Drosophila melanogaster: one gene and its partner. The protein of the gene in region 1 binds, or shares a complex with, the protein of each later gene. Each region holds a gene or a part of one and is shown on either strand. Other genes may lie near its edges. The genes, in order: Cbp20 and Cbp80.

Region 1 (3,216 bases):
TCCCGGCGCCTTCACTCCAGGCTGCTCAAAGGTGCGTAGGTAGCATAGTTGCAAAGTCATCTGCTTTGAGTTTCCGAATATTGTAGAAACTTCCAGCAGTATAGTGTAATTTATGCAGCTTATGTATTCCAACTGAATAATGCATTTCCCCACACCCACAGACCCACTTGCCCGGCTATGTGAGCTCCGCCGATGAGCTGAAGTCCAAGCAGGGCGTGGACGAGATTGTCTGCGTTTCGGTCAACGATCCCTTTGTGATGTCCGCCTGGGGCAAGGAGCACGGAGCCGCGGGCAAGGTGCGCCTCCTAGCTGATCCCGCCGGCGGTTTCACCAAGGCCCTGGATGTGACCATCGATCTGCCACCACTTGGCGGCGTGCGCTCAAAGCGCTACTCGCTGGTGGTGGAGAACGGCAAGGTGACCGAGCTGAATGTCGAGCCCGATGGCACCGGACTCAGCTGCTCGCTGGCCAACAACATTGGCAAGAAGTAAATGGAATCCAGTCAGCCCGAAAACACTAGAAACTCATACATGCTAATGCTAGGCCGCAATGATATCAATTACGTCTTCAAAAGAACTATGTAAAACGTACAATATATATGCGATTAGAGATGTTATGTCTAAGGGGTATGCTTTAATATCTAATTGGGGGGCTTATAGTCTTTACAGTCATTTTATCTAATAACTAGCGATTGTCCGTGTTGGGTGCAATCTTCTGTGACAACAGTTTGCCATAACCCCCGCGGCCGGCATCGTAATCCGTGCGGTATTCATCTCGCACCTGTCCGCCGGTTTTGCCGCGTCCATACTGCCTGCCCTCCACGAAGCCGGCGTCCCAGTCCACACGAATCAGACGGTCGTCCAAGCGAGTGCCATTCACAAATCTTTTGTGGGAGAAGAAAAGAGTGTTGAAGTTAGTTAAGAGATAATGATACCCCATCTGATTACTTCTACAAATGCCGGAAAAAAGGCGGCTTTTTCTAGCGTGGAGAGATGGATATGGCTCACCTCATGGCCGCCTCCGCCTCCGATCGGACATAGTACTCCACGAAGCAGAAGCCGCAGGGCGTCTTCTTATACTTGTCCAGGCCCATCACAATCACACGAACATCGCCGCAGCGGGAGAAGAGCTCGTGGATCTGCTCCTCGGTGGTGTAGAAGCTCAAGTTTCCCACGTAAAGTGTACACGAGTCGCGGAGCGATCGCTCTTGCTCGGAGCGCGAGCCCTGCAATTGGTTTATTGAGTCGGAGATCTGCTGTGGCGCCTTCGGATGTACTCACCTTGAAGTGCTGATCGCGATATGAGCTTAATTCCACAGATGCGAACATATTTTTCAGCTACAAACTATTGAAATATTTTCTCTGCTTTTATTTAGTGACGGCACTCTATTGACTGATACTTCGATAGCACTTTGAAATATGAATCGGTGAGCTAGTGCATAAAAAGTTTACTGGGTAGCAAAAATATATTATTTTAAAATTCGTTGTATACTTATATATCAATTTCTCTCATGGCCCTAACGGGAACTTATTCTTTAAGCTTAGAATAAAAATCATTGCAAATATTAACCATGTTAATATAATATAAACTAAGCTGTTACTTTAGGCGATAGTTCTGTACATTCGATACACACACTGTTTACGTTTGGGTATTTTCGGCACGCGTTAGTACATTTTCATATAACTGCTGTTTCACCCCGAAATTTTGTAGCTCGTTGTTATTGTTAATTTTATGGACTCCGCACACCGTACTTAATGAACGCCACACTCAATTCCGCGGGCGGCAAGCGTCAGCTGCGCTTTCGCGGCGACGTCACCGGCAGCCGAGTGGAGGAACTGCATCATCAGCAGCAGGAGGAGCAGAAGCAAAAGGCGCCGCTCGCCCAGGATGACGTTGCAGCGACGCCGACTGCGACGCCGGCAGCGGGCTCAGCGCAGCAGCGACTGCAGAGCGGTAAACACGGATTTACTGATTGGAAAAACATTCTTTTGAATTATTATTATTTAGTTCTTAGGATGACATTTACGTTAACTAATTTTAATTGGGTTTCGCGCTATTTCATAGCAACTTTACTTTTGATCATAACATACACATTTGCCTTAGATTTGATGCTATATTTAAAGTTCTAGAGAGATTTTTAATTAACTTAAATTCCAGATAAAGCTCTTAAAAACCTAATATATCATAATTTGCAATTTTTGAAGTTGTTTTAACTAAGGATAAGGATGTATAATCAATGATTTGTAATCAATCGTTATCTATTTTACTTAAATCATTAGAATCTATGCATATACTTTATATTTGATTCATACTTATCATTCATTTTTCTTTTATTTTTGCAGGAACCGCCGAAACCTGCACAAACACATTCTACGACTTCTTCAAAGTGGAGATGACACGCGGCTATATGCTGGAGCACGACGAGGAGCGCTATTCGGCGCGTAGGCAGAAGATCTACAGCTTCATGCGCATACCGCGGGATCTGGAGCGATTCATGGTGTACGGGATCATGCAGTGCGCCGACTCATTTCTCTACATTCACACTTTTCTGCCCGTCCGATTTGTGATGGCCGTTTGGGCCCTAGTTTCCAGGACGGTGGCAAGAATCTTTCGACTACGCAGCAGCGGACAAAGGCTGCTATCGCCGGCGGAGATCTGTGATCTGCTGAAGGGCGTCATCTGGATGACGGTGACGCTGATAATGCTCCTGGTGGACACGAATCGGGTGTACCACATCATCAAGTCACAGTCGATCATCAAGCTGTACATATTCTACAACATGCTGGAGGTGGGCGACCGGCTGTTGTCCGCTTTTGGTCAGGACACGATCGATGCTCTCTTCTGGACGGCGACAGAACCAAAGAATTCCAAGCGAGAGCACTTTGGAGTGCTTACGCACGTTCTCTTCACGCTAATCTATGTCTTCTTGCACAGCGGACTGATCATGTTTCAGGTGAGTAATGGTAGCTTTATAAACCACATTTTCTCTGTGATTATATTGGTTTGGTTTCTAAACTATTCCTTCAGGCCACCTGTTTGAATGTGGCGGTGAACTCCAACAACAAGGGCCTGCTGACCATCATGATATCGAATAATTTCGTGGAGCTCAAGGGATCCGTGTTCAAGAAGTTCGACAAAAACAACCTGTTCCAATTGACCTGCAGCGATGTACGAGAGCGATTCCATCTGTCTGTGCTTCTGTTCATTGTGGTCATC
Region 2 (5,049 bases), on another chromosome or scaffold:
AGGACTCCCGATCACCAGGATCCACCCGTGGAGCCGGCGAAACTTTTCCGGGTGCAGCGCATCAAGCCGCTAAAGGGCAATCCCTACTGGGAGAATCGAATCCTCAAAGATCTGGGACTAGACGGAAAGCAGAGCGATTTTACTGTCGTCAAGAACATACCGGAGAACAATGCCCGCCTGTGGAAGATCAAGCATCTAATTAAGGTTACGCCGGTCACGTTCCCCTACGGAGAGCCCACTGCCCAGGATGTCCGGCATACGATACTCAAGGAGAACGGCGAGTGCCTGGTAACCAAGGACCTGGGACCCATCGATACCCGCCTGGCGGCTCGCCAGGATTACGACGAGCAGCCCAAGCGACTGGATACCGATCTGCTGCGCAAAGATGCCCGCCTCAAGTGGCTAAATCCCTGGTAGTTAAAATTTGTTTTCTTTATTCCGAAAAAATAGTTTTTTAAATACAAACCGAAACCCAAACTAAGCATTAAAATGTGGAGTCGGTCGGTCCTTTCTCAGTAAATGGCCATGGCCACCTTCTTCTCCAGCGTCTTGCAGCCCGAAATGGCGAACAAGCTGTGCGTGCGATCGTAACTAATGGAGGAGTTTATTATGTCCTCAATGATTTTTTGGTTGTTCGCTTGCTTAGGATCGCGCCGCCACCTTAAAAGCTCCGCCTCCAGGCACTTGATCACATGCGCCTTCTCCATCGGCAGGAACGGAATGAAATGATCGATAACATGAGACTCAATCATGGTGGTCTTTTTCATACCGCCATCCATGTTATAGGCGGCCTTCCGCAAAAGGGGCTCAAAGTCACTCAGTCGTGTGTCCTCGCGCAGCCTACCATTCTTCATCACACTACCCAGATGACTGGCTATATGACTGCCCGCCGTGTTCGAGAGAAAGATGAAGATTGCCTTTGTGTTATCCGTGCCATCGACAAAGGCGTTGTAGTCCACCAGCGAGGTGAGCTGGTCGAATACTCCGCTGGGCATTTTATCCACCTCGTCGAAGATGAACAAAGATCTCGGGCAGCTACGCAAGGTATCGCGCACCGCATTATTGATTTTCACCCTATAGTTAGACACCTCACTTTCCTTGGGAAAGTCAGCTTGTCCGAGATACTTGGTTACATAGTTCGACCTGGAGCCCTTCAAATACATAGCATCTGCAATTTGCTCAGCCACAAAATTCTTGCCCGTACCGGGCTGGCCGTGAAAGCTGATGACCAGCGGTTTCCGTGACTTATTGCCCGAAGCGATGTGCGCCTTCAGTGCGGGGACGATATGCTGCCTCACGATGTGCTGGCCAATGAGGGTGCGTTCCAGGGATCTTTCTAATTCTGTAATTACCCACTGTACTGGTTAGTCATTTTGTTGCATACAAAACTACTCACTCACCATCTATTCTCGCCGGAATGTTTCGGTCATCGCAGCATTCGGCAAACCGGCAATATGTATGTTCTTTGAAGTACGCCCCAAGGGCCACGGCGCCAACGGCACCAATGGTCAGGGGATCCACCGACTGGAGGGGAAGCGGCAGTATTACAAGCACGCTAAGGCACAGTGATAACATGCGTGGAAAGCTCATCATAAAATGCAAGGAAAATTCCGCGGTGGAATGTATAGATGGGCAAAAGCGATAGGCAGCATAAGACTAGATTGCAGCACTTGCCGGCAACCGTTTCTATCGATAGTTGTGTAGCAGTGGCATTCAACAGATTTTTATTGTAAGTCAGTCAGTGGTATGTTTTGGTTAATTGAGTATGCCGCAATTCTGCGCATATGGCGCCAAAGAAAACGTTTATTCAGGCCCCATTTTCAGTCCGCCGCTTACGCCGCCGCTGTTATCGATAAACCCTGCCATCGATGGCGGCACATCTTTAGTTCTTTGGCAAAAAAAAAAAATAGCATCGCATCGCGTTTTTTGTGAAAATTGTGACAAAGCTGTTTTGAAAGTTGGCAAGCTAATTGACGCTCGCAGTGAAATACTAGACGCACCAACAAGGCCCATCCGTCAAGCGTATCCTGTCCAGGATCCCCGAAAAAGTCCAGGTCCAAGAGGTGTACCCATCAGCGTGCTTTTCTGTCTGCCGGTGGCCAAGGACCAATCGGTAATCGGTGTTTTCCGCAAAATTCACAGAAAATTCACGGGAAGATGAGTCGCAGGAGGGCTCACGACACGGAGGATGAGGGCTATGGTAAGTGGGCATCGATGTAATCATGAACGCAAAGCATTTATGGGGGCATTTAATTGCAGATCATCGGCGCAACAAGCGTAGACGTGTGTCCGAAAACCAGGAGATCGAGGATCGTCTGGAGTCGCTGATACTGCGGGTGGGCGAGCGTAGCACCTCCTCCGTGGAATCGAACCTAGAGGGACTCGTCTCCGTTCTGGAGGCCGATCTGGGCACGTTTCGCCTGAAGATCCTGCGCATCCTGTCCGACTGCGCCGTGCGAATGCCAGAGAAGTGTACCGTTTACACCACGTTGGTGGGCCTGCTCAATGCCAAGAACTACAAGTTTGGCGGCGAGTTCGTGGATCACATGGTGAAGACCTTCAAGGAGTCCCTCAAGATGTGCCGCTGGGATGCCGCCCGCTACTCGCTGCGCTTTCTGGCCGACCTGGTCAATTGCCACGTCATTTCGGCCACCAGTCTCCTCCAGCTGCTGGACACCATGATCGATGTCTCCAACGAGGATACAGTGCCCCAGGTGCGTCGCGATTGGTTCGTCTTTGCTGTGCTCTCCACGCTACCCTGGGTGGGTCGCGATCTCTACGAGAAGAAGGAGTCTGCCCTGGAGTCCCTGTTGCTTAGGATCGAGGTCTATCTAAACAAACGCTCAAAGAAGCACCATAATGCGCTGAGGGTGTGGTCCTCAGACGCTCCGCATCCACAGGAGGAGTACTTGGACTGCCTGTGGGCGCAGATACGCAAGTTGCGGCAGGACAATTGGGCGGAGAAGCATATACCACGACCCTATCTCGTATTCGATTCAATACTTTGCGAGGCACTGCAGCACAATCTGCCCACGATTGTGCCGCCGCCGCATCACGACAACTTTGAGTATCCCATGCCCTGGGTGGTGTACCGCATGTTCGACTACACCGACTGCCCCGATGGGCCCAATCTGCCGGGTGCCCACTCAATAGAGCGCTTTTTGATTGAGGAGCATCTACACCATATCATTGAAACATACCATCACGAGCGAAAGGATTGCGCCGCCCAGCTGCTTAGCTTTCCGTACAAGCACAAGATCCCGCTGGAGTACTGCATCGTCGAGGTGGTCTTCGCCGAGCTCTTTCATATGCCCACGCCGCGCTATCTGGACATCTGCTACGGCTCCATTTTGATCGAACTCTGCAAACTGCAGCCGGCCACGCTGCCCCAGGTTCTGGCCCAGGCCACCGAGATCCTCTTTATGCGCATCGACTCGATGAACACGTCATGTTTCGATCGGTTCGTCAATTGGTTCTCCTATCATCTGAGCAACTTCAAGTTCACATGGTCATGGGACGAATGGGACAGCTGTCTGCTCCTCGACGGCGAGCATCCGCGTCCCAAATTCATCCAGGAGGTGTTGCAGAAGTGCCTACGGTAGGTTATAACCGTGTCTGTGTACAAACCATTGATACTCAACTACATACATCTTTGACAGCCTTTCGTATCATCAGCGCATTACGGAAATGATGCCAACGACTTATGCCAAGTTGATTCCCTTGACGCCAGTGCCCAATTACAAGTACGCCAACGAGGAGGCAGGTGAGTCTGACCCCGTGCCGTACGGATTACTTGAATTTATTGTGGGATTAAGTGTGCTTACGGCTAGGCTTAAATATAGGATAGGATAATTAGGATTTAAGATAGATGGGTAGGCAGCTAATTAGTCAGCACTGGCTTCACCTCGTTCTCCTCGTCGTCCACAATGATGGGTATCTCCTCGCCGTTCTCGCCCACCTTGATGCTCACAGATCGACTAACCGATTTCTGGGTGAGCACCTCCACCACTTCCTTGGATGGTGCCGGTGGCAGTGGCGACGCCAATGGAACGCCAGTGGATGCAGCGATTGTGGACGGCGGAGTTGCTGTGGTTGAAGTTGTCGTGCTGGTTGACGAAGTGGTGCTAACGAAGGCTTCGTGGCGGTGACTGCTCTTGGCCTTGCTGTCCTGCTCCTTTCGCCGCTTGGCCCACTTATTCAGCGGTGGTTCCGTGCTGGTGGATGTAGTGGTTGTGGTGGATCGTCCAGCTGTTATCTTTGGCGTGGTGCGATACCTACTAATGGAGCGCAATGGACTAAAGTGCGTGGAGGTGGACACAAAACTGGCGATCGTGGTGGGGATGACGTGTGTGGATCTCTCAGTGCTTGCAGTCTCAGTGGTTGTGCCAGCGTTGGAAGATGGCGCTGAAACAGTTGTGCTCAGTTCGGGCTGCTCCAAACTGACCACTGGGCGCTGTTCCCCTCGCTTTTGGTCACTTGCCTGCTCCTGATGCTGTCCCTTATCGGTTTCCTCCTCCGGCGGCTGCTTATCCTGCAGCACATCGATGGGGTTCTGGTGGACATATAAAGGATCCGGCTCGGAATAGCGATAGACGGTCTCCTCCAGCGGTTCGCTTTGCACAAAGGACTTGTCATCATCGCCGGAATTGCCGCCCGCATAGATAAGCAAAGGTGGCAGCTTGGCTGTTTGATACTTGGAAGCCTGCCCATAAATTTGTGGTGTCCGCAGCAGTAAATCCTGATCTTGTTCCTCCAGAGATTCGGAAGAACCCGAATTGGAGCTGGGAAACTGCACTGTCTGATGATGGGTATATAAGTTTGAGGACGGATTGCCAGCCGGTGTGATCGGTTGCGGTGGCGAGGAGTTGGGCAAGCGGTAGCCCAATTCCGGATGCAATTGGGCATCGCCGGCACCAGGTGCCACATAGAAATGGTGATGGAAATGATGGGTTACAGCGCCCGAAATGCCTGCCAAATCCCCAGGGACCGCTGGACCAACATTACCAGCATTACCCAAATCACCGCTGTGTGATGGGAATCTTTCCAATT

The links.
Region 2: Cbp20 (region 1) and Cbp80 share a complex: the UniProt entries of both Drosophila melanogaster proteins name them as parts of the nuclear cap-binding complex.

The regions. Positions count from the first base shown.
Region 1 is NT_033777.3:18,162,841-18,166,056, reverse strand, and holds Cbp20 (cap binding protein 20), read right to left. Parts: upstream 1,397-3,216; 5' UTR 1,329-1,396; coding exon 1,281-1,328; intron 1,226-1,280; coding exon 1,008-1,225; intron 884-1,007; coding exon 685-883; 3' UTR 618-684; downstream 1-617. Other genes in the region: Prx5 (peroxiredoxin 5), read left to right, coding at 1-31, 162-491; CG7218 (uncharacterized protein), read left to right, coding at 1,755-1,953, 2,343-2,953, 3,028-3,216. UniProt on the Drosophila melanogaster protein: Component of the cap-binding complex (CBC), which binds co-transcriptionally to the 5' cap of pre-mRNAs and is involved in various processes such as pre-mRNA splicing and RNA-mediated gene silencing (RNAi).
Region 2 is NC_004354.4:4,648,173-4,653,221, forward strand, and holds the start of Cbp80 (cap binding protein 80), read left to right. Parts: upstream 1-1,877; 5' UTR 1,878-2,157; coding exon 2,158-2,200; intron 2,201-2,259; coding exon 2,260-3,598; intron 3,599-3,659; coding exon 3,660-3,763; intron 3,764-3,782; exon of another isoform or gene 3,783-3,880; coding exon of another isoform or gene 3,881-5,049. Other genes in the region: mRpL30 (mitochondrial ribosomal protein L30), read left to right, coding at 3-417; torsin, read right to left, coding at 513-1,342, 1,401-1,593; CG15473 (uncharacterized protein), read right to left, coding at 3,881-5,049. UniProt on the Drosophila melanogaster protein: Component of the cap-binding complex (CBC), which binds cotranscriptionally to the 5'-cap of pre-mRNAs and is involved in various processes such as pre-mRNA splicing and RNA-mediated gene silencing (RNAi).